7 linked regions of the Macaca fascicularis genome follow. The protein of the gene in region 5 interacts with the protein of the main gene of each other region in a pairwise test. Links are inferred from orthologs where the notes say so. Each region holds a gene or a part of one and is shown on either strand. Other genes may lie near its edges. The genes, in order: UBXN11, PYGM, GRN, RHEBL1, PRKAB2, CDX4 and MAGED1.

What was found.
Region 1: the proteins of PRKAB2 (region 5) and UBXN11 interact in binary tests that used the Homo sapiens proteins (3 or more experiments, as listed by UniProt). The link is inferred for Macaca fascicularis from reciprocal best matches to the Homo sapiens genes PRKAB2 and UBXN11.
Region 2: the proteins of PRKAB2 (region 5) and PYGM interact in binary tests that used the Homo sapiens proteins (3 or more experiments, as listed by UniProt). The link is inferred for Macaca fascicularis from reciprocal best matches to the Homo sapiens genes PRKAB2 and PYGM.
Region 3: the proteins of PRKAB2 (region 5) and GRN interact in binary tests that used the Homo sapiens proteins (3 or more experiments, as listed by UniProt). The link is inferred for Macaca fascicularis from reciprocal best matches to the Homo sapiens genes PRKAB2 and GRN.
Region 4: the proteins of PRKAB2 (region 5) and RHEBL1 interact in binary tests that used the Homo sapiens proteins (3 or more experiments, as listed by UniProt). The link is inferred for Macaca fascicularis from reciprocal best matches to the Homo sapiens genes PRKAB2 and RHEBL1.
Region 6: the proteins of PRKAB2 (region 5) and CDX4 interact in binary tests that used the Homo sapiens proteins (3 or more experiments, as listed by UniProt). The link is inferred for Macaca fascicularis from reciprocal best matches to the Homo sapiens genes PRKAB2 and CDX4.
Region 7: the proteins of PRKAB2 (region 5) and MAGED1 interact in binary tests that used the Homo sapiens proteins (3 or more experiments, as listed by UniProt). The link is inferred for Macaca fascicularis from reciprocal best matches to the Homo sapiens genes PRKAB2 and MAGED1.

The regions. Positions count from the first base shown.
Region 1 is NC_088375.1:208,855,670-208,859,169, reverse strand, and holds part of UBXN11 (UBX domain-containing protein 11), read right to left. Parts: intron 1,419-3,500; coding exon 1,204-1,418; intron 928-1,203; coding exon 850-927; intron 1-849. UniProt on the Homo sapiens protein: May be involved in the reorganization of actin cytoskeleton mediated by RND1, RND2 and RND3. Promotes RHOA activation mediated by GNA12 and GNA13.
Region 2 is NC_088388.1:9,632,221-9,636,313, reverse strand, and holds the start of PYGM (glycogen phosphorylase, muscle form), read right to left. Parts: upstream 2,801-4,093; 5' UTR 2,725-2,800; coding exon 2,482-2,724; intron 1,461-2,481; coding exon 1,359-1,460; intron 1,272-1,358; coding exon 1,193-1,271; intron 1,106-1,192; coding exon 1,002-1,105; intron 661-1,001; coding exon 529-660; intron 1-528. UniProt on the Homo sapiens protein: Allosteric enzyme that catalyzes the rate-limiting step in glycogen catabolism, the phosphorolytic cleavage of glycogen to produce glucose-1-phosphate, and plays a central role in maintaining cellular and organismal glucose homeostasis.
Region 3 is NC_088390.1:65,406,518-65,410,545, reverse strand, and holds the start of GRN (progranulin), read right to left. Parts: upstream 2,801-4,028; 5' UTR 2,768-2,800; exon of another isoform or gene 2,360-2,767; intron 1-2,359. UniProt on the Homo sapiens protein: Secreted protein that acts as a key regulator of lysosomal function and as a growth factor involved in inflammation, wound healing and cell proliferation. Regulates protein trafficking to lysosomes, and also the activity of lysosomal enzymes.
Region 4 is NC_088385.1:55,881,794-55,884,849, forward strand, and holds the end of RHEBL1 (GTPase RhebL1), read right to left. Parts: intron 2,840-3,056; coding exon of another isoform or gene 2,772-2,839; intron 2,507-2,771; coding exon 2,424-2,506; intron 2,338-2,423; coding exon 2,281-2,337; intron 2,096-2,280; coding exon 2,048-2,095; intron 1,253-2,047; coding exon 1,171-1,252; intron 1,017-1,170; coding exon 927-1,016; 3' UTR 501-926; downstream 1-500.
Region 5 is NC_088375.1:113,066,662-113,070,161, reverse strand, and holds part of PRKAB2 (5'-AMP-activated protein kinase subunit beta-2), read right to left. Parts: intron 1,304-3,500; coding exon 1,137-1,303; intron 322-1,136; coding exon 228-321; intron 3-227; coding exon 1-2. UniProt on the Homo sapiens protein: Non-catalytic subunit of AMP-activated protein kinase (AMPK), an energy sensor protein kinase that plays a key role in regulating cellular energy metabolism.
Region 6 is NC_088395.1:80,248,307-80,251,249, reverse strand, and holds the end of CDX4 (homeobox protein CDX-4), read right to left. Parts: intron 2,204-2,943; coding exon 2,058-2,203; intron 1,615-2,057; coding exon of another isoform or gene 1,554-1,614; intron 1,293-1,553; coding exon 1,086-1,292; 3' UTR 501-1,085; downstream 1-500.
Region 7 is NC_088395.1:51,968,158-51,971,496, forward strand, and holds the end of MAGED1 (melanoma-associated antigen D1), read left to right. Parts: intron 1-664; coding exon 665-779; intron 780-2,038; coding exon 2,039-2,416; 3' UTR 2,417-2,424; intron 2,425-2,630; 3' UTR 2,631-2,839; downstream 2,840-3,339. UniProt on the Homo sapiens protein: Involved in the apoptotic response after nerve growth factor (NGF) binding in neuronal cells. Inhibits cell cycle progression, and facilitates NGFR-mediated apoptosis. May act as a regulator of the function of DLX family members.

The sequences.
Region 1 (3,500 bases), about 96 Mb from region 5:
ATGAGGAAAACCAGGCCTCAGGAGAGCCACAGTTCATACTGCTGTCATCTTCCTCAGCCCTGCTGCTCCTGCAAGCACCCCATCCAGGCCAGCTGAAGCTGCAGTACTGACACCCTCCTTGGAGACCCCCTCTCAGGAGCCTACCATGAAGGCAGAGTGTGAGGGGGTCAGGAGAGGACGAAGCCCCTGCTTTTTTCCAGTCTGCAGCACAAACTGCATCATCGTACATGGAACCTCACTTGCCTCATCAAGGCTCCGAGGCCCCCATTGTGGCACAAATGCCTTAAACACCCCCAGTCATGACTCATGCTGTTTCCTGAGCCCTGGTGACACATGCTGCCTCCCTGACACGCCCTCAGTGCGGCACTAACCCACCACCCTCTGGAACACGCAGCCTCACGGGCTCCGGTGGTGGCACCTACCCATGGGCCAGCTCTACCTTATGTCCTTGAGTCCCAACATCTGTCCCCTCTGTTTTGCATGTGGCTCACAGCACTGCCTCCCACCCTACCCAGATAGCTTCAGGAGACTTGGGGGATAGCCGGGTCACTTCTGCAGGGACCCCAGGTTGTCAAGGTGTCCTGAAAGTTGGGGAGGACTGGGAGGCAGTGGCCCTGCAGCCGAGGCTGTCTCCAGGGTGCCAGCAGAGGGCGCTGCCTGCTGCTCTGTTTCGGTCCTCCCTGCTCCCTTCCCAGCCCAGCTTCAGGCTTATCCTCCTGGAGGGCATCAAACTGGGGTCCCCCAGGGGGCACAGTGGCTTTCCCTCAGAATGGGAGGTGCCTGGGGAGGCTGTGTATCCTCACAGCCTCCAAAATCCCCAAAGGTGTGGTTTGAGGAGCAGCTCATCACCTTAAAGGGGACCCCATTGGGGTACAGTCGCTGGAGCTCTGAGGGAAAGAAGCCATCCAATATGTCTCGGAGGCAGCGCTGCAAGGGGAGAGGAAAAGTGAGCGGGTGGCCTGGGCCTTGGACCCACCCTGCCCTGCCACTAGTCTGGATGGCAGGCCCTAGATCCAGGGTCACCCAGTGCTGCACTCTGGAAGCTGAGTCCCAGGCCTTGGGGAAGGGGCATCTGCAAGTCGTGTGTGGGCCTGGGTGCCCCATGGAGGGCAGGCTGGACCTGGGGTGAACTGACTCCATCATCCCCAACTAACAGTGGGCAGCAGGGGCATTAGAACACCAACCCCCCAACACCGCTCCTACCTGTGTGGAGGGATCGTAGAAGGGTTGGAAGGGCCCGTCGAACATCATGATGCCATTCCGGTAGAGCTTCAGTGGGATGGGCTCAAGGGTACGCAGCCGTGCCCCGCCGGGCACTGGTGTCACCTGGGTGTCACCCTCTACCACCAGCTCACTAAGATCCTGCAGGCTGGCCAGCAGCCTGTCAAAGTCCACCTCAGGGGGTGCCAATGAGTCCCCTGGCAAAGAGGACAGACACCTATGAGCCGCCTCCTGGCTGCCGTGTCCCTAGCAGCCCTAGTCTCTGTGGCTCCCTCCCAGGCTGGGCAGTGGTCTTAGTGTCTCCTCAACTGACTCCCTGGGGAAAAGGAAGGACAACACTAGATAGTAACAGCAGCTATCTTCCTAAGAGCCAGCTTGGAACACGTACCCTGTCCATGTTTGCTACTGTGCCCAACTCCACCTTGCACACATGGTCCTTATGCCAACCCTGAGGCTTGAGGCAGGGGTATTTTTATTTATTTGAGAGAGTTTCACTCTTGTTGCCCAGACTGGAGTGCAATGGCACAATCTTGGATCACCGCAACCTCCCCTCCTGGGTTCAAGTGATTCTCCTGTCTCAGCCTCCCAAGTAGCTGGGATTACATGTGCATGCCACCACACCCGGCTAATTTTTGTATTTTTAGTAGAGATGGGGTTTCATCATATTGGTCAGGCTGGTCTGGAACTCCTGACCTCAGGTGATCAGCCCGCCTCAGCCTCCCACAGTGCTGGGATTACAGGCATGAGCCACCACGCCAGGCTGATGCAGGGGTTATTTAGCTCCATTTTACACATGAGGAAACAGGCCCACTGAGATGAAAAATGACTTGTCCCAAGCCAATTGGTGAGAGGAGGAACTGGGAAGGGAGTCGGGGCTGCCTCTCAAGTCTGTTTCCCCCACCCATCTCAGGAGAGGGAGGTCAGAAGAGGGACAGACGGCTCTTAGGGAGGATGTAGGGACAGCTGCTGGCCAGAACAGATATGGAACAGACCGTAGGTTGTGCAACTATTTCTGGGTCACAGACCCCTTTGAGAAGCTGACAAAGCTCTGTCCTCCTCTTCTGAAAAATGTGTGGCACATACAGCTGTGCACTGGCTTCGGGGGAGAATATGGAGTGGTGGGGCCAGCCATGACGGATAACAGAGCAGAAAAGTGGAGGACAGGTAGACGCTGGCTGGGGACAGACCAGGGGCCTGTTCTGTCATCTTTGATGGGACCTGGTCCCCAAGTAAGTCATCTGTTCGGGTGTGCCCTACAACACACCAGTAACTTTCGGGGCCTCGGAGAGGCTGTTTTTCACAGGACAGGCAGGCTGCGGCAGGATGTGGGTCAGGGCTCTGGGGACCCAATTCCTTTCCTCTCAGTGGTGCAGTGGCTGTACCAGGGAGGTGCAGATGTGCTTCCTGTTGCTTTTGCAGCAGGTGAAATGGTAGGCCCCAGCTGGCCTTCTCCTCTCCCCTACACTTCCTACCCCTGAAGGGGCTATACCTGCCCCCACCTCCTCCTGGGGTTCCCCCACAGTCCCTGAGATGCCCTGGAAAAACTCACCTAACAGAATGATACCAAGACATGATTTTAACAACTACTTTAAATACAAATAGGCAAACCTAAAAACAATAGCAGAATAGGTAATCTCATACAATGCCTGCCTCAACCCTCTTTTTTTTTTTTTTTTTTTCTGAGACAGGGTCTCCCTCTGTCACCCAAGCTGGAGTGCAGCGGCACGGTGATGACTCACTGCAACCGCGACCTTCCAGGTTCAACTGATCCTCCCACCTCGGCCTCCCAAGTAGCTGGGACCACAGGCAGCATCACCACACTCTGCTAATTAAAAAAAAAAAAAAATTTAAGAGACGGGGTCTCGCTGTGTTGCCAGGGCTCTGTCTTCTTTATAGATGGGGAAAGTGAGGCCCAGAAAGGTCAGATGACATGGCCTGATCAGACCAGACAGAGCCAGGAAGAGCACCAAATACACCAACTCCTAATTCAGTGTTCCTGTCACCTCCCAGGGCCAGGGGTTTTTCAGGCTGATGAACATGGGTGGTCGACATGGGATGGGGCCAGACCAGGGAGGATGCCGAGAAACGACAAAAGGGAAGAGAGAAGCTTGCCAAGAAAACAGCCCTGGCTTAAAGAAGTAAAAGCAGGTGGGCTAGTCAGATGCTGGATAGCACAGAGTGGAGAGAAGACCAGGGGCCAGGAAGAAGGAACTACAGCTCTGGGCAAACCAGCACTGACAGAATGAGACAGGAAGAGCTACCACAGCAGGGCCTTGTGA
Region 2 (4,093 bases), on a different chromosome or scaffold from region 5:
GTCTCTCTATGTTGCCCAGGCTGGTCTTGAAATCCTGAACTCAAGCCATCCTATTGCCTCGGCCTCCTAAAGTGCTGGGATTACGGGCATGAGTCACCGTGTCCAGATTTGGTTTGGTTTCAGGATTCCTCTAACTTGCTGTGTGGTGAGTGAATTCCTTTCAGAAGGTCCCAGTTTTCTCCTGTCCCCGTTTCTGGGCTGCTGCTATCGAGATGTTCAGGGCAGACTCAAGTCGTAAGATGGTCCTTTGATAAATCTCATGGTGTGTGGTGGAGCCAGGTCATGGGGAGACACTGGGGGAGCAGGGCAGCCTCTCTCCCCTTCCAGGCTCAGTACTTAGACTGGCTCCCCTGTGTCCCTGTATCCAGTCTTTCCTGGCTTCAGCTGTGTGACTTTGAGTAAGTCACTTAACCTCTCTGAGTCTCAGCATCCTCAGTTATAAAATACACTGGGTCCTGCTTCCTCTCTGGGCTTCCTTCTCTTCCCTCCCCTTCTCTGAGCTCCCCTGACCCCCAGCTTCATCCTTACCTGTGTGTCCACCCACTTGGCACCCTGGCTGGTGTGCTCCACATGGCCGTAGAAGTGCACAGGTAGTGTGAACTCGGGGCGGGCCTTCTCCCAGGGGTTGCCGTAGCGAAGCCAGTCATCAGCCTCCTCCATCTGCACCCAAGGCAGGTCAGGGAGAAAGGCCGGCAGCATCAGCGCAGGCATTCACACCACAGTGCACGGTGGGGCAGGGCGGGGGCTGTGGGCCCGTGTACCCCACACCAAGTGTAAGTTAGGGGCTCTGAGGTGGGCCCCTGGTCTACTGGGCTATCCAGTGGGACATAGACCACCTGTTTCAGGGGCACCAGCTGGCTTTGGGTTGGGGGGTGGGGAGCAGCAGGGATGCGTTCCACAGAGCTTGGGGGGCTGTTTCGGACCTATTCAGAGATAATAAACAAGTGGGGGTCTTCCCCATCCTGACTAGACCCCACAAGGTTAGAGCCAAGGCTGCTCACCTGCCAGCCCCCGGAGATCTTCTGGTTAAAAATCCCAAACTCATAGCGAATCCCGTAGCCATAAGCGGCCAGGCCCAGTGTTGCCATGGAGTCGAGAAAGCAGGCTGGGGGTGTGCAGGGAGGCAGGTGTCAGGGACCCAGCACGGAGGACCCCATCGGCCCCCTCCACCCTCAAGGCCCTGTCCACTTACCTGCCAGCCGGCCCAGGCCCCCATTGCCCAGCCCCGCATCCTCCTCAATTTCCTCCAGCTCCTCCATGTCCAGGCCCAGCTGGAGGGGTGAGGGTGACAGTGGTCAGGGTCAAGTGTTAGCAGGGGAATCCCCCAGTCCCCATGGCTTGCCCCACCCCACACATACCTGGTAGGTGGCCTCGTCACAGGCATTCTCTAAGGCCAGGTTCACCATGGTGTTCTGTAGCGTCCGTCCCATGTAGAATTCCAAAGACAGGTAGTAGATCCTCTACCCAGAGAGACGGACGGGCAGGGGATGGGGTCAGGGCCACACACCAACACTCAGCCAGACCCAGCCACACCTGGACCTCTGGGCCGCCTGCCCTGCTCAGCAGTCCCATCCCTGTCCCCAGTTTGCTTCTCCCTGTCTCAGGCTTTGGGGCCCAACGGGTAAGGTTCTGGTCCCAGCATTCCTCTGACTTTGGACAAATCACTCTCTTTGGCCTGTTTCCTTATCTGGGAAATGGCGCTGGCCATACCCACTTCAGGGACTGAGGCGCTCGGGAGAGTGGGAACCCCTTCCCCCTGCACACACGCCCCCGCACTGCCCAGCAGGGCGCCAGGACACACGGAAGCGCCTCCAAGAGCTCCCCAGGAGGGCAAGGCCAAGGCCCAGAGAAAAAGGTCATTTGCTCAAGGTCACACAGTGGCTAGAGACTGGGCTAGAGACTGTCACCTCCCATCCTTGCACTGCCCAGTTCCCCTTGGCCCTCAAGCCTCAATCCCAAGGAGACCCAGAGGCACCAGAAACTAGGATGCTGCCAGTGCCTGGTCTCCTGGTTGCCTGGGTCCCCTCCCGGGCCCCGTCTGCCTGCTCCTCCCCCACTCCCCACTGAGGGGTGTCAGGTTGCTGACATTTACCAGTGACCCCACCGGACACTTGATCTCTGCACCCGAGCTGCCCCAGCCCCTCCTGCTGCACAGGCACACCACGCATACATGCAGCAACTGACATGTCCTTCCACCTGGGCCCAGCCAGGCCACAGGTGCCATCCTGCCCACCAGCACCCCCTCCAACCTTCTCCGAGTGGGCACTTTTGCAGCCAGACCACCTGCTCTGAGCTCCCTGACCCCCACCCCCGCCCCAGGTTTCTCCCTCAGATTGTCCCAGCACCACTTGTGCCTGGCACCCCTGGATTCTCCAACCCCAAGAACCTAGAGTGACGAGGGGCAGCCACTTAAATCAAGATCCCCAGCTCCCTGGCAGTGCCTCCATCCCATACCCCCACCCCAGGTGTCCCCAGCAGCACCTTGGGGTCCTTCTCGTAGTAGTGTTGCTGCGTGCGGATCCAGCGCCCCACGAGGTGGTCGCGCACGGTATGGGCCAGCGCAAAGTAGTAGTCTCGTGGGGTGGCCACATTGCGGTCCTTTACGAGTGTGAAATGCAGGTGCCGGTTGAAGTTCTTTTTCAGCTCAGTCACATTCTCCACGCCGGCCAGGCCACGCACACTGATTTGCTTTCTTTTCTCCTGGTCTGACAGGGGCCGGGACATGGCTGCAGGAGGGTGGGCCGGATTGGACTGATGGTGGAGGAGACGGCAGCCTCAGCACTGCCTCCAGCCAGGGAGTAGAGCTCCCCAGGCTCAAGGGGATTTAAAGCCTGGCTCTGGGCAGCACGTCCCGCCTCCCCTGCAATGGGAGGGTCTTGGCCTGGCAGCTCAGGGAGCTATTTTGAGGGTAAAGGAAGGAGAGGGGAGGGGAGGGAGAGGTGAGCTCCACTTGGGCCTCCAAGACTGGCCTGGCTTGTTCACAGGCCTGTGCTGACCCACTTCCTCCAGGCCTTGCACACGGGTCTTCTGTCCCTTGTCCCTGCCTTTTGCAGGGTTGGATACAAGAAAGATCAGGCAAGAGTGCTGGATTGGGGAGCTGTCTGCCAGTGGCTAAACCAGGATGGGAGGCCATGTGTTGTGGTAAAAGGAACCAGGACCCCCTGCAGGCTGCGGTGCAGGAGGCAAGTCAGTGTCCCCTTACGGAAGAGGTGCAACTAGCAGAATGTCTTCAAGACAGGGGGCCCTTCGAGAAAGGGGGCCCACAACCCTGGTGGTGTGAGGGAGGTTGTGTGAGGCAGGGCCACCGCCCTCACTCCACCCCCACTGAAACTGAGCAGCTCTGGGCTCCCCCTGTTGCTGTCCCTCAAGGAGCTCTGAAGTGACCTTTTGGAGAGGGATGCTCAGGTTACAGGCCAGCATTGGCGGGAGGCTGCTAGCCTGCAGCACAGGGCCCTGGGAACTGTAGTCCTGTAGGCCCTTGGGGGTGGGAGAAACTGAGGCATTCCCCACCCCGTCATCATACTGGTTGATGACAGTAAGTTCTCCCTGTGATTCCACTGCTTAGGAAGTGATTGGAGGCCTTCTCTCACTCCTTCCTGCCACTTGGGGCCACACCCTGGGCAGGGATTTTGTGAACCAGCTCTGTGACCTGGCACCCTATAAAATGGGTGCCTAATCTGTACCTCGGGGACCTCACCCCATTCATGAGCATAGCCTCACAGCTTCGGGCCCTTCCCTGGAGGCTTTGACTATCCTCCCATTCCACGCTTTGTCCTGGCCCCAGCACTGACTTGCTGTGTGACCTCAAGTTTGTTGCTTTACCTTTCCGAGCTTTGGATTCCTTCATCAAATTTAGAGTCTCCAATGAGAAAAATAAATTCCTTCCTCTCAGCTGCTGCCTCATCTTGTGAGGGCAGGCTTTGGATCCTGCTGTTCTTTAAGCGAAAGGAACCAGGACCTTGTGCTAGTTCAAAGGCTGTCTGGGCCTCCCGGGTGGTGGGCCAGTGGACGGGAAGAGCTGGGTTTCTGTTCTGAGGGCAGGCAGCAGGTCAAAAGCCTGGACAGCTGCAGGATACTATTGAGAGCCTGGTTC
Region 3 (4,028 bases), on a different chromosome or scaffold from region 5:
TTTGTTTGTTTGTTTGAGACGGACTCTCCCTGTCTCCCAGGCTGGAGTGCAGTGGTGCTATCTCAGCTCACTGCAAGCTCCACCTCCTGGGTTCACGCCATTCTCCTGCCTCAGCCTCCTGAGTAGCTGGGACTACAGGCGCCTGCCAGCACGCTCGGCTAATTTTTTGTATTTTAGTAGAGACGGGGTTTCACTGTGTTAGCCAGGATGGTCTCGATCTCCTGACCTCGTGATCCACCCACCTCGGCCTCCCAGAGTGCTGGGATTACAGGCGTGAGCCACCACGCCCAGCCACTTTTACTTTCAAAGGAAGAAACTGAAGCTCAGAGATGTTAAGTACAGTCAGCCCTCCGTATCCAACCAGAGATCAAAAAATATTGGGTGTGGTGGCTCACACCTCTAATCCCAGCACTTTGGGAGGCCTAAGTGGGCGGATCACGAGGTCAGGAGTTCGAGACCAGCCTGACCAACATGGTGAAACCCCCATCTCTACTAAAAATACAAAAATTAGCCATGCGTGGTAGTGCACACCTGTAATCCCAGCTACTCAAGAGGCTGAGGCAGGAAAACGCTTGAGCCCAGGAGGTGGGGGTTGCAGTGAGTGGAGGAGATCGTGCCACCATACTCCAGCCTGGGTGATAGAGCGAGACTGAGATTCCGTCTCACAAAACAAAACAAAAACCCCAGAAAATGTTACATTGTTGCTGAGGTATACTATGTAGTTAGGCTTAGGATGGGTGCATCTATACTGAACATGTACAGATTGTTCTTTCTTATTATTCCCTAAACAATTCAGGATCACAACTATTTACATGGCATTTCTTTTTCTTTTCTTTTTTTAAATTTATTTATTATTATTATACTTTAAGTTGTAGGGTACATGTGCATAACGTGCAGGTTTGTTATATATGTATACTTGTGCCATGTTGGTGTGCTGCACTCTTTTTCTTTTCTTTTCTTTTCTTTTTTTTTTTGAGACGGAGTCTTGCTCTGACGCCCAGGCTGTAGTACAGTGGCGCAATCTCAGCTCACTGCAACCTCTGCCTCCCGGGTTCAAGCAATTCTCCTGCCTCAGCTTCCTGAGCAGCCTCCTGAGTCTGCTACCACACCTGGCTAATTTTTGTATTTTTAGTAGAGATAGGGGTTTCACCATGTTGGCCAGGCTGCCAGTCTCGAACTCCTGACCTCAGGTGATCCACCCACCACAGTCTCCCAAAGTGTGGGGATTACAGGCATGAGCCACCGTGCCCAGCCAACATGGCATTTCCATTGTATTAGGCATAAGTAATCTAGAAATGATTTAAAGTATGTATAGGTTATATGCAAATATCACACCATTTTGTATCAAGGACTTGAGCACCCAGACTTTGGGGTCCTGGAACCAGTTCCATGAAGATACCAAGGGACACCGATAACATGTCACACATCAGGTCATGGTGACGACAGGCTTTGATGGCCCCAGAGCGTATTGGACCTGGGTTAATATCACTAGTGGCACAATGGGCAGTGCCTGAGAATGGACCCCTACGCCCCAGGGGGATAGGTGCAACAGGTACCACAGAAACAGGGACTGCCTGGAAATCGCACTTGAGTCCTAATCCTGGAATTGCCAACTGTGAGGGCCTGAGAAGTTGCTCCCTGTCTGTGCCTCAGTTCCCCCACGAGTCTTGTGTGGATATCATTGGAGGGGGGAAGGGCAGGAAATGTCACCCACCCAGTCACTCACATCCTCTCTGCTCCAATTGGCTTTCCTCAAGTGCCCCTCCCCTAACTCAGCATCCCGAAGAGGCCACCTCCTGGACAGATAAGGATGCAGTTGACTGGTCCTGGACAGTGGACCCTCTCCTCAGCCCCACAGCTCCCAGGCAAAGCACCTGCAGCTGGCACCGCCTACTTCCTGCGTGTTCTCAGCAGGCTGTCCGCTGCCCTGGCTTGCTGGGAAGGGGAGTCTGTCTGCACAGGAGTGTTCAGCTCTCTGGTGAGTTACCTGTGCATGGCCCCTCCTGTTTACCCTGAGTTGAGGGAGTATAGTGTATGCTTCTACTGAATACATGCACACACATACAGAAACAGGGATGAGGAGGCGAGTCGCAGTCTCTCACGCCACCCTACACCGCCAAAACAGCCAGAGGGGACAGCAGCCTCTTCAAGACCCTAGCTCCGTTATCTTCCACTAGGTGGCAGCCCCCAACTCCGAGTGCCAAGGGGAGAGGAAATTCCCAAAAGGGGAGCCAGCCTAGCTGCAACTGAGCAGGAAAAAGTGGCTGGGAGAGGCGGAAGTTAGCTCGTCCCACCCCCAAAAAGAGGAAGTAAGGAGGAGCCAGACCAGGTTCAGTCACCACTCCCAAGTCCCTACTACCTTCGAGAAGCCAAGGTTTCAGGTCCCGTTCCCAGGCCCTCGGAGCTCCCAGCCCAGGGTCGCGCGCCCCTCCGGCTTCAGGCCGCCGCGGGAACCACCCACCACCACCACGAGAGGGAAAGAAGCCGGCACCTACCGACAGGGGTGGAGCTGAGTCAAGAATGGTGTGGTCCCTGCTTTGGGGGAATGCTGGGGAGGTAGAAAGCCCCCTTCTAACAGAGGTCACTGCAGTTACTGCTTCCTCTTTCCCATAAAACTCCCTCTAGTGTATCAGAACCCCCAAGGAGTTTCAATAAGCGGTTCTTGTCTTGTCTCCGGCTGAGACTCCCGGGGAACCTCAAGCTCACATGGCCCTAGCCGGGCCCCTGGGCAGGAGCAGGCCAGAGGTCTGCGCGGCCGCCCTCCTACCTGCGTCCGGGTCCGCGGTCCCTGGGCAGCAGCAACCGGGCAGCGCTCAGACTACAGATCCCAGCGCGGTGACCCGCCTACCTCAGTTTCCATTGGCCAGGGATCAGGGCTGCCGCACTCCCATTGGCTACTTATCAATGTGGAGGTGGGGCCAGCCTGGAATGCTGTGTTTCTTTTCTACTCAAATCACTCTCCTCCCCGCTTCCTCTCGCCCTACACCCCATTTCTAGGGATCATGTGATTGGAAAATCATGTGACGCCGGGCCAGCCTCAGCAGGGCAGCTGGTGCTCGTCGCCTTCCTTCACCCATCCTGCAGGTGCCTGGGGGAGTTTGCTAGAGATGATAGCGCGTGTCTGGGGCATTGACAGTGCGAGGGACTGTTATGAATTGGGAATATTTGTGCTCCTCTTTCTATTCTTTTGTTTGTTTGTTTGTTTTGAGATGGAGTCTCACTCTGTCGCCAAGCTGGAGTGCAGTGGCACGATCTCGGCTCACTGCAACCTCTGCCTCCCGGGTTCAAGCGATTCTCCTGCCTCAGTCTCCCGAATAGTTGGGACTACAGGCGCGCGCCACCAAGTCCAGCTAATTTTTGTATTTTTAGTAGAGACGGGGTTTCACCATGTTGGCCAGGATGGTCTTGATCTCTTGACCTCGTGATCCGCCCGCCTCGGCCTCCCAAAGCGCTGGGATTACAGGCCTAAGCCACCGCACCCGACCTTGTGTGTTTGTTTTAGAGAAAGGGTCTCGCTCGGTCGCCCAAGCTGATCATAGCTCACTGCGGCCTGCAACTCCTGCTCCCAAAGCGATTCTCCTACCGCAGGCCCCCGAGGAACTGGGATTACAGGTGTGAGCTACCGGGCTCACTCGCTCCTATCCTATCCTATCCTGCCCTGTCCTGTCCTGCTCTATTCTGCAAACTCGGATGACATGCTAGGCAGGGCCCAGAGTGAGTTGAAGGATGGTTTCCAGGACAAAGATAAACAGCCCAAAAGCCCTTTCCTCCAGGTGCTCAGCAGGACAGGGGGCAGGGATTGGTGGGAGACAGTCTCAGGCTGAATCTAATTTAATATACAAGGTCGTGCGCCAGTTGCCAGGTGTGGGAGAGGAAGTAGATTGTCTACAGGTGGGGAAGAAGATATTTCATTCCACCTTAGAAGCATCTCCTTGAGCTGAGTTTGGGAAGATTTTAACTGGCAGGTGGAGGAGGTGGTGTTGGGAAGAGCCTTGGGAAACCAGATGGGAAGGGCAGGCTTGGCAGGG
Region 4 (3,056 bases), on a different chromosome or scaffold from region 5:
GGGAGTGGCAGCCAACTGGACTCAGTATATGAGGAACCCAGCAGAATAGAAAGGTAGGAAAGGCAAGTTAGGATAATGGTCGTTAATAAGTGAGGAATAAGGAATAGGAACAAGGTAGGAGGAAAGATTTCCCACCAAAGACCACAGCCATGACTCCTTGGAAAAAGAGATACTGGCTCTGAGCTCTCCCTAGATACACAGATGTCAACAATAAGGCCGGGAGTAGTGGTTCACGCCTATAATCCCAGCACTTTGGGAGGCTGAGGCGGACGGATCACTTAAGGTCAGGAGTTCGAGACCATCCTGGCCAACATGGTGAAACCCCATCTCTACTAAAAATAGCCAGGCGTGGTGGCGGGTGCCTGTGGGAGACTGAGGCAGGAGAACTGCTTGAACCTGGCAGGCGGAGGTTGCAGCAAGCTGAGATCGCAGCACTGTACCGCTCCAGCCTGGGCAACAGAGTGAAACTCCGTCTCACACACACACAGGAAAAAGAAATCAACAACAAAAGATTTCTCAGTTTATTTGCATATATACATTGTCACCCCAGGGAGCCAGCTCTGTTTCAGAAGTCCCTGGCTCCCCTTACCCAGCCAACACCCAAAACTCACCCAAGAGGATGGGTCCTGGATAAATAATGCCCAGGACTCATATCCTGACCCCACAGGTTATAACAGAATTCATCTAGCAAAAACAGAGGGCTAGAGGCCAGTGTCCATGAGAGGTCCTTGCCCCTTTGTAAACATTGACATCCAGGCCACTAGAGCCTGGGGAAAGTGTGCAAACATGAGGATGCCACACTGTGTGTCCAGGGGTCAGGAACACAGCTGGCAACCATACCCGTGAAGTCCTGAGGGTCTGACCCCCCACTGGAACATGGCAAGTGCCAGAGGCAGAAACAAGGCAGTTACACCACACCCAAGGGCTCACATGAGATGGCAGCGACGCTCTTGCCCATAGGAATTCTCCACACGGGCAATCTCCTGGATGACTTTGGTGAAGATGCCTTGAGTCAGCTATAAGGGGAGAGGATTCAGGGCAAAAGTCAGTTCAGTGCCAATACCACCCAGCTCTGGGGTGAAAGCTCCATTCCTGCAACATTCCCACCAAGCAGTACAATAAGGAAAACACGGCTACCACCACCACCCTTCTAGTCTTCGGGCCGAGCACCTGATTCTCTCGAGCAGATGACTCCATAAATGTCGCACCCCAGGACTCTGCCAGCTTCTTCCCTTCAACTGCCTGTACCTCTCTGGAAGCAAATTTGGGACATAAAGATGGAGGATAGAAATGTTGGTAAGTGCTCTGAAAAATCTTCAGAATCAAGGCTTCCTGGCCAGGCTTAGTGGCTCATGCCTGTAATGCAGCACTTTGGGAGGCCGAGGTGGTGGATCACTTGAGCTCAGGAGTTCAAGACCAGCCTTGGCAACACAGTGAAATACCATCTCTATTAAAAAGAAAATGGGCTGTGCGCAGTGGCTCATGCCTGTAATCCCAACACTTTGGGAGGCCTAGGCGGCTGGATCACAAGGTCAGGAGATCAAGACCATCCTGGCTAACATAGTGAAACCCCGTCTCTACTAAAAATACAAAAAATTAGCCGGGCGTGGTGGCATGCGCCTGTAGTCCCAGCTACTCAGGAAGCTGAGGCAGGAGAATCGCTTGAACCCAGGTGGCAGAGGTTGCAGTGAGCCGAGATCACGCCACTGCACTCTAGTCTGGGCAACAGAACAAGACTTCATCTCAAAAAAAAAGAAGGAAGAAAAAGACTTCCTCTGACCCACGCCATTTCCCCAAGTTTTGGGAGGAGGGCTGTGGAAAGAGAAAATATAGGTAAACAAAGGAACAATGGGTGAATCTAGGACTGAGGCTTGAAATATGAAATTGTGGCTTTTAAGATAGAAGTATTATCTTCCTTAAGCTTCAGGTTAGAGACAAAGAGAGGTGAAATGACTTGTTTGAGTCAGTGGCAGAGCCAGGATGAGAGCCTGACTGATTCCAAGTCCATTTCACTTCCTTTTCCTCTAAGTAGCAGAGATTTACATACCTCTCTGGAGAGAGATCTGCCTTGTTCCCAACTAGAACCACTGGCACCCTGTGAGGAAACAGCAGTTATTTCAGAATCCCCTCATTCCCCAACTCCTTATATCAAGGCTGGACGACTCCTTATCAGACCAGGCAGGATCTATATCCGAGCCTCTCTAACTTGACAATTCTCCCCTCTGCTCTCTCCTACTCCCTCATGCCCACACTATGTCCCTATCCCCCAAGGCCACTTACCGGGTTTTCCCATGGCCTTCGTGTAGCTTTTGGTACAGACTCTCAATGACCTGGAAGCTTTAAACACAAGAATTGGAGCTATAACTTTATGAGACAGTCCTCAGGTTTTCCTAAGTCCCACACTCACAACCTTGGTCACTTACCTATGTAGAGAGGTGACAGAATACACAAGCACATAACCATGGACTCCAATGATGAATGAATAGGGCAGAATGCTGTACTCATCCTGTCAAGAAATGGAAACATCAGTACCTAGATCCAAACCACTCAGATGGCAAAGGTTGGTGGGACAACATCCAGGTGACCCTCCCTGGGGCACGCCCTACTATAGTCACTTCAACAAGTATTTATGGAGCAGCTCCAATGAGCCCTGCATACTCTTAACAGGTAAAATGCTTTTAATACTACTTTACAGATGAGCCACAAAGACTACCAGACTTCATCTCTGAGGGCTGAACTGCCACTTTTGGATACCATACCCCAACTGGTACCTGCCCTGCTGTGTCCACCAGGTGTAGGTGAAACTCATCTTTGCCAAGAGTCACTATCTTGCTGTAAGCTGAAAAGAAAAGAAAACTTGACTGTGAGGTGCCTTATAGGGCCAGCAATGTATGTCCCCTGACTTTTTTTTTTTTTTTTTTGAGACAGAGTCTCACTCTATTGCCCAAGCTGGAGTGCAGTGGCTCGATCTCAGCTCACTGCAACCTCTGCCACCTGGGTTCAAGCGATTCTCCTGCCTCAGCCTCCCGAGTAGCTGGGATTATAGGCGCCTGCCA
Region 5 (3,500 bases):
GGCTGAAACAGTGAATACAAAAAATTATTGAATCTTTCAAATCTCTCTCTCCCATCCAACCTTCCTTTTTTACTAAAATTTACACATGATTGTACTCAGCACCTCCACATTTTATCAAGAGAGAAATCCTCCAGTGTAGAGGGGCAGTTGCCCATCAGTCTTGACAGAAATGACAGCTAAAATGAGACTGCTAAGTCAATGGTTACCCTTGGAGATCAAGGCCTTACCTCTGATGGATCATGAACCCACTGTCCATCCACAAAGAACTTGTATTGGTGCTCTCCCTCAGGGAGGTCCAGGATGGCAACAAAGTCATTATGGCTACAGAAGAAAAAAGAAAGGCAGACAGGCCAAGTTTCTTTTAGAAGACTGAATGTAAAAAACAAATGGCAATCATAGTATCATATGAATAACTTCCCAGATTCCTAAGCCTTGTATCCCTGGTGTAAAAAACAACATATAAACCCATTCTCCTTTTCTGTATCATCTTGGACATGTATTTACCAGCTCCTCCCAACAACGTTAGTTCTTAACCAATATCTGGAAAAGAATAATAAAAACATTAATCCCCTCAAATGGTTCACCTAGTATAACTATTTTGCTTCAGTAGAACAAGTTCCTCAGCAGTGCAAATGAGATAGGTAGGTTCAGGATACAGAAGTGCCTCAAGGTACTTTGTTTTGGTGAACCTTTTCTGGAAAATGAACTACCATACAAAGGCTCATTCTGACAACCAGTTAAATCATTCATTATTGCTTTGGAAGCAACGAATAACATGACTACCTAGAACTTCAAAATATGTTTTGCTTTAGTGCGGAAGTCAGAGCAACAAGACTCAGCCAGTTACAGAAGACTTCCCACAAGCAGAGACAGGACTTGTATGACACAGTCCTAAAGAATGTAGTCACAAAGCTATTATGAATCCCTCTGAGGCAATGAAATTCTAAGGGATAAAAGACCTCTGACTCACTATGAGGTTAAAAAAAATCCCACAGATATACTAAGTGGCCACAGAGATATGTTCTAGAGAGAGTCCTTAGCAGGTGGAGAAAAGTAGTCCAGCTGGGTCTCTCTTCTGAGAAAAGAAATCAGGTCTCTATTCCTGGACCCTTAGATTCAACCAAGATACTTGTCACCTCTTAATCAGTGGAATCTTGGTGCTCCAATTGTTGAAGGACCCAGAGATGAAGACCTCCTTGCCTCCTTCAGACCAGCGGATAACAGTGGGCCGGGCCTGCTGTGTGGGCTTTACGGAGTCCTCCAAATCCTGCTGCCATGATACAAACTCTTTGTCCCCAGGGAGCTGTAAGAAGGAGTAGGTCATCCCTAGAATAAACTGTGACCCAAGAATTCTAAAAAGGTCACTCTCCTTCCTAGAGTAGAGAAGGGTGCTAGGCTTTGGCTAAGGATATAAACCCCAAAATTAGCAACTAAATCAGAGTTTGAACAAATTATAGAAAAAGAACTCATCTAGGACCAAAAATGGTCAAATGGCCTATGCTCAAGCACTGCCTAAATCACAGCTTAACTTTTGAGTCTACCTATATCACTCACCCTTTCACAGCCTTAGACTCTCCCTTTAAAAAAAAAAAGAAAAAAAACTAACTCCCTACCACTAGTTTAACTCATAGGCAGGCAATTATGATATGCTTCTGAGTCTTTCTTATTTTTTATTTTTTTTATTTTTTATTTTTTGAGACAGAGTCTTGCTCTGTCACCCAGGCTGGAGTGCAGTGGCGTGATCTCAGCTCACTGCAAGCTCCACCTCCCGGGTTCACGCCATTCTCAGGCCTCAGCCTCCCGAGTAGCTGGGACTACAGGCACCCGCCACCACGCCTGGCTAATTTTTTTGTATTTTTTAGTAGAGACGGGGTTTCACCGTGTTAGCCAGGATGGTCTCGATCTCCTGACCTCGTGACCAGCCCACCTTGGCCTCCCTAAGTGCTGAGATTACAGGTGTGAGCCACCGTGCCCAGCCTGTTACTGAGTCTTTTTTTTTTTTTGAGACGGAGTCTCGCTGTGTCTCCCAGGCTGGAGTGCAGTGGCGTGATCTCGGCTCACTGCAAGCTCCGCCTCCCGGGTTCACGCCATTCTCCCGCCTCAGCCTCCCAAGTAGCTGGAACTACAGGCGCCCGCCACCTCGCCCGGCTAGTTTTTTGTATTTTTAGTAGAGACGGGGTTTCACCATGTTAGCCAGGATAGTCTCGATCTCCTGACCTCCTGATCCACCCGCCTCGGCCTCCCAAAGTGCTGGGATTACAGGCTTGAGCCACTGCGCCCGGCCGAGTCTTTTTTAAGAGAGAGAAAAAAAATGAAAACAAAGTATGGTTCTGTAAAAAATAATTAAGTCAGCCATATACTTTTATAGGCAAATATGAATAGTTCTCAATTACCAGTTGTAATGGAAGTTAGAGATATCAAAATTCTAGTTTATAAGTAATTCATAAACTCTATTTCAGCTAACAAGTTACAAAAAGAAGAAACATTAAAAATTCAAAAACCAGATCACTGATTTCTTAAAACTTGAGAAGTGGCTATGAAATCTTACTTACTCCCCTATCCCAGGTTTACACTAATTATTTCAGGAGTAGGAATAAAAATTCTAGAACCTCAAGGAGCAAGAGATCAAAAAAACAATTTCCTTTGTCAAAAGTAGCTCTCTTATTAAATGAGGTTTGTGGGATTGTAAAAACAGTAACTCCAGTTTCTTTTCATTACTATCCTTTGGACCAAGAGTTGGCAGCCAGCCAGTGAGCTAGATGCTTTTATCAAGTTTTATTTGAAAATAGCTCTGCCCGTTTGTTTACCTATTATTTTATTTACTGATTGACTGAGAAAGGACCTTGCTCTATCACCCAGGCTGGAATGCAGTGAGTGGTGTGATCATAGCTCACTGCAGCCTTGAACTCCTGGGCTCAAGCCATCTTCCCACCTCAGTTTCCAGAGAAGCTGAGACTAGAGGTATGAACCAAAATACCTGCCTTGCTTACCTATATTGCCTATAGTTGCTTACATGCTAGAGTGGCAGAATTGTGTAGCTATAGCAGAGACTGTATGGTCTACAAAGTCTAAACTGTTTACTATCTGGCCCTTTACAGAAAGATTGCTGACCCCTGTTTTAGACTGGTTTAAGTGACTTTGGTGAAGAAGACTGTATAGTATTAAGCCTAAGTATTACTAAATAGAATAATGTGGGGTTTTTCTTTTTCTTTTTCTTTTTTTTAAAGGACTAGCTTATTCATATGGGCTTTCTTTTCAAAATGGTTGACATAGTTTCCCCTCCATACATTCTCTTGATATTCCTCAAAACTACAGTATAAGACATCAGCAGCAGGATAATCCAAAGTAAATAGAGAAAGAGAATTGAAAGGACTTTCACATAAGGAATTGACTTCAGAGAAAACTACATATTATCAGAACGATGCACCCTTGCCTAACTGGCTGCGTTAGAATCAAGAATTTGACATATGCCTAAGAATAACCCTCAGATTCTGATATGA
Region 6 (2,943 bases), on a different chromosome or scaffold from region 5:
TGTACCCTGATGGCTTTTACGCTTTAATCAAGCTTTCCTTTAAACCATCTCAATTCAAAAGGACTTGCAGCCTAGTCTTTGTCCACTTCAATATGCAAACAGTATGCTGGACCCACACTAAAAGCTCTTGGCAGCCTGGATCACTGCAACCCCTTTTCTTAGTCAAGCTGTGTGTTTTTAATCTGTAAACTGCAGCTTCTTGGATTATAAACCAGTAAACTACATTGACATGACATGATGTGGGTAAAACTGAATAGGTTGAAAGGTGATGGCACATACGGGATACATATCAGTTCACTGTCTTGTGCTTACACAAGTCTTACTGGAATGGGAATGGAGAGATAAAAGAGGGGGTAGAGTTTATTCTATGAGTTGGAGATGTGCCTTACTCAACCAAGCTGGCCTCTTTTGTTTTAGTCTGGGTTCATTGTTTTGACAAGATTTTAAAATGACACTGCAGGTTGAAAGTTCTGAGATAATTGATGCCAGACAAGTATGACTGAGGGCCAAAATTGTCTATTTTATTGGTTGTTCTTGTTAAGTAGTGACAATGGAATCAGAATCACCTTCTGATGATTTTTAAAACATTTATCTTGTTATAAAAATTATGTTAGCTTTTGAATTAAACACTTAGAAAGGTAGCTAACGATAGATAAACTTTGGTTTACTTTCTTTTCACTCCTTAAAGATAGCATAAAAGAAAACACCTAGCATCAAATAACAAACAAAAGTACACATACACAAATGTGCTTTCTGGCAAAATTGTATTTTACAGTCTATTCATAAGCAAGTTTCTGAAATTGTGAACAGACTTGGAAGGGCCTGTGATTCTAGCTTTTAATTATATAGCTTACTACTAAGCTTCCTGAGTGACTGACATATAGCACAGCACATGACAGGAGTTTTCTGGGGATAGTTTCTAAAAGTAAGAGTCCTCTAAATTATCTTCAACCCATTGTACATCCATCTGTTCCAAATACTGCCTTACAGGGAATTACACCCTGCTCCAACTCCCCTGCAGATAGCTTAGAGACCCAAAAGGCACCACTAAAAACAGAGCACTTTAAATTTCTCTTTGCTTTCTTTCATTCAGAGACTATAACCTGCTGTATCTCAATAGGCTGAAATCCACGAACAGCAGATGGTGTGGTGAAAAAAGTGTTAGGCAGTTCCCCAGGGCTGATGGAGCCAGAGTCACTTTGCACCGAGCCTCCACTATTCTCAAACTGGGAGAATTTCTTTTTGATCATCTTTCTCTCCTTGGCTCTGCGATTCTGAAACCAGATTTTCACCTGAAACACAATGAAGCAACATACTGAATGCAGTTAACTTAGTGATTTCTGATATTGTACACAGACTTTAGCATTTACAAAGCCCCTTCATATGCATCACTTCATTTGAGCCTCACAATGACCTTGTGAAATATGCCCACTTAACAGGTTAGAAAAAAAGCTTGAGACTTAGAGAGGGCAAGTACTTTGCATGAGATGAAACTGAGATCCAAGTCTAGGGCTACTAACTCTGAATGCAATAATCTTAATATTATACCTTACCCGCCTCCTCTGTTGCACAGGTGGAAATAAATAACGCTGGAATGATAGATGCTGAGGAGTGCTGATAAGAGAGAGATATTTAAATAGCAAAGGTAATTATAATCAGCCATTTCTATGTTTTATTAATATTTCACTAAAAAGTCCTATTAGTAAAATATTAATAAAATAAAATAAAATAGAAAATTTATCTTCCTATCAGTAATAGTATACTATTAATAGTATAGGAAGGAAGTTTTTCTTCCTATTAGTATACTATTACTAATAGGAAATTTGTCTTCCTGTTAGTAAAGTATTAATGAAACATATAAATGAGTGAACAAGGGTGATGAAATATTATATATCTCTTGCTGGAGATAGACAAGAGCAATATCAATGTGCATTCACACGTGGTCGAAATGCAAGCTACTTGGGATAAGGCAATGCATCAAGGGAGTTTACAATTCTAGAATTCTGATTCTATTGAAATTGACTATATGGGACATGTTTGATATACTTCTGGTGTACCTGTCTCTCAGAAAGGCCCAGGTTAACTGCCAGCTCTGATTTTCTCCGGATGGTGATATATGTGTTGCAATGGAATTCCTTTTCCAACTCCAATCTTTGATGATCAGTGTAAACTACACGATACTTTTCTTTTGTCCTGGTTTTACCTGTTAGGAGAGAAAGCATTGCATTTAATCATTTTCTGCTTCTTGGAGATTGTTTTAGTTAAAGAAATCATAGACACTCTTCCCACCCTCATCTTTACTTTACAATATAAAATAAATATATTTTTGAATCAAATATTCATAAAAGTCCATTTCTCCATTAAATACATTCTCATCTGTGGCTATGATAGCAATATCTCAGTCTACCATCTATAGACATAGACATATATCTATATATCTATATCTCTCTTTATACATAAAATCAATATCTCTTTAATTAATGTTTCTCCTAAAATGATTGGTCAAATCACAATCATCCCATCTTGACCTATTTTTATAGCAGAGCATTGAAAATGCTTAAACACTTTAACCCATGGTGTTTATTACCTTCCCACTTACATATGTGATTAGCATTGGCAGTAATAGTAATGCCATTATACAGGTACTTCCCATTACATTTTATGCAGTCTTTCCATACTGTTCCTGTTAAACCTCTTACCTACCTTCTTGAATTGTGCAGAACATGTCTTATCTCCATTTTACAGATAAGAACATGAAACTCAGGGTAAATGACTTTGTGTTAGAGAATTGAGGAGTGGGGACCCAAGCATATATCTTTGACTCCTATTTAAGCATGCTAACTAAATGTTATTCCAAGTTCAAATATGCTGGGATGCATAATAATGGCCCAAGAGTGGAAAACACTTGTGGGATCCTGACACTATAGCTACATAGTTTCCTAG
Region 7 (3,339 bases), on a different chromosome or scaffold from region 5:
AACTTCCACCTCCTAGGTTCAAGCAATTCTTGTGCCTCAGCCTCCTGAGTAACTGGGACTTCAGGTGCCTGCCACCATGCCCGGCTGTTTTTGTATTTTTAGTAGAGATGGGACTTCACCATGTTGGCCAGGCTGGTCTCAAACTCCTGACCTCAAGCAATTCACCCACCTCTGCCTCCCAAAGTGCTGGGATTACAGGTGTGAGCCATCATGTCCAGCCAGAATTCTTCTAATTTTTCTACTTTTCTAAGTAGTTGTCTTGCAAGTGAAGCCCATCCACCATCCCCACAGTAGACATTCCCAAGGCTGGGCCAGGCTGACACTTTTGCACTACATTGTAATCATTTCAATGGACCTCTGTGGCTCACTGACAAGATTACAAAAATCTGGAGCTAGAGCTGAGGCAGAAGGAGTGAAATGAAATGTTGTCCTTTCTGTGACCCTATACAAACGTCGCCTGCAGCTCTAAGTGAGTGCTTAGTGTTCTGGTGCAGGAATTCAAGGCTTGATGATTAAGGGGTAAATACCCTGATGGTGTTCAGGAATGAGCCCGAGGGGGAGTTGCTATTTGAAATCTGATGTTAAAAAATGTAGGATTATTTTTCATTACTGGACTACCATTCTGCCCGGGTAGGTAGACACAAAGACTGTTTTGCTCTTTCAGATACCTGGACTACAGACGAGTGCCCAACAGCAACCCCCCAGAGTATGAGTTCCTCTGGGGCCTCCGTTCCTACCATGAGACTAGCAAGATGAAAGTGCTGAGATTCATTGCAGAGGTAATGTGCCAACCAGCATTGATAGGTCAAGGGATGAAGTATCGCTGGCTGGGAAAGGTCCAGGGTAGGAATGAGATCCTAGGTATGGCACGTGATAGGTGCTGCATTGCTGGTGGTATTTGTTGTTGTTGTTAGGTAAACTTAACATGCATTAGGTGCTAACATATGTTAATATATTAGCTAATACAATTATGAGTTTGTTTTGGTTTTTTTTTTTTTTAGGTTTTTAAAGTATTTTTATTTTTTCCCAACTTTACTAAAGTATAATTGACAAAAATTGTATATATTTATGGTGTACAATGTAATTTTTAAGTATTTTGTTTTGTTTTATTTATTTATTTTCTCCTGAGATGGAGTTTTGCTGTGTTGCCCAGGCTAGAGTGCAGTGGCGCGATTTTGGCTCACTGAAACCTCTGCCTCCCGGGTTCAAGCGATTCTTGTGCCTCAGCCTCCCAAGTATCTGGGATTACAGGCACGTGCCACCACCATGCCTGGCTAAATTTTTATTTTTCTATTAGAGACAGGGTTTCGCCATGTTAGCCAGGCTGGTCTCGATCTCCTGACCTCAAGTGATCTGCCTGCCTCAGCCTCCCGAAGTGTTGGGATTACAGGCGTGAACCACTGTACCCAGCACATTCATTTATTTTTAATTGACTAATAAAAAGTATATATATTTATGGGGCACAGTATGATGTTTTGATAATACATGTCATGTACATTGCGGAATGATTATATCAAGCTAGTTAACTCTCCGTAGCTTCATATACTTGACATTTTTTTTTTGTGATGAGAACATTTAAAATGTACTCTTTTAGCAATTTTAAATAAACAACATATTATTATTAACTATAGTCATCATGCTATATGGTCAATCTCCAGAACATACTCTTCCTATCTAACTGAAATTTTGTACCTTTTAACCAATATTTCCCCATCCCTCCTGACCCCAGGCCCTGGAAACTATCATTCTACTCTCTGTTTCTATGAGTTAGACCTTTTTAGATTCCATGTATAAGTGAAGTCATGCAGTATTTGTCTTTCTGTGTCTGACTTACTTCACTTAGCATAATGTCATCCAGCATCATCCATGTTGTTGCAAATGGCAGAATTTCCTTCTTTTTAAAGGCTGAATAGTATTCCACTGTGTGTGTGTGTATCACATTTTCCTTATCCATTCATCCATTGATGGACACGTAGGTTGATTCCGTATCTTGGCTATTGTAAATAGATTTTGTTTTGTTTTCTATTCCTCATCTCAGGTTCAGAAAAGAGACCCTCGTGACTGGACTGCACAGTTCATGGAGGCTGCAGATGAGGCCTTGGATGCTCTGGATGCTGCTGCAGCTGAGGCCGAAGCCCGGGCTGAAGCAAGAACCCGCATGGGAATTGGAGATGAGGCTGTGTCTGGGCCCTGGAGCTGGGATGATATTGAGTTTGAGCTGCTGACCTGGGATGAGGAAGGAGATTTTGGAGATCCCTGGTCCAGAATTCCATTTACCTTCTGGGCCAGATACCACCAGAACGCCCGCTCCAGATTTCCTCAGACCTTTGCTGGTCCCATTATTGGTCCTGGTGGTACAGCCGGTGCCAACTTTGCTGCCAACTTTGGTGCCATTGGTTTCTTCTGGGTTGAGTGAGATGTTGGGTAGGTACATCACTTTGGATTGGGCAGTTAGGGTCTCTGGGGGATATAGGGTCCATGGGATTGTATTTATGTGCATGAGCTAGGAGTCTTAGGAAACTCATTGTAGGGAGGTGAGGAAAGTATGGGGCAGCACTCTTTGGTGTGTATATTCCTTATTATTTGATATATATCATTGATTTTTTTACTTTTTTTTCTTATGTTCACAGATATTGCTATCAATCGCAATAGTCTTTCCCCTGTGTGAGGCTGAAGCCTCAGATTCCTTCTAAACACAGCTATCTAGAGAGCCACATCGTGTTGACTGAAAGTGGCATGCAAGATAAATTTATTTGCTGTTCCTTGTCTACTGCTTTTTTTCCCCTTGTGTGCTGTCAAGTTTTGGTATCAGAAATAAACATTGAAATTGCAAAGTGAATTAGATGTGCTCTCTGCTTCTTTTTTTCCCTATATTTGGGGAGCGAGCAACATGTTTATGTGGGAGAGACAGGACCTCGGCTCTAGTTTGAAGGGGGTAGATCAGCTTTCAGCAGGTGGAAATATGGGAAGATCCAGCTACTGGATTGGGATACAAAGGCAGTATCAATGAACACGAGACCCAAGAACTTGTATAGTTTATTCAATAAATATCACTTAAGTGATTCTCATGTGACAGATATGCTGCTAGGTGTCCTGGAGTGACATTGCGAGAATTGCATAGTGAGAGAGGGTATAGGTGCTCAGACAGTTGCACTTAAGAACACAGCGGAGGTGGAACTCCAGGTGATGATAAAGTCCAGAGAGTAGGTAGTTGAAAGGGACAGAAGGTGACTATTCTGGAGATAAGGGGTCCATGGCCTGTGATTCTAGGGTGTTGGTTATACAACCCATGTGGAAAGTGAAATAACTCCAGGAGGGCAGCAGGAGTAGGAGCAGAGA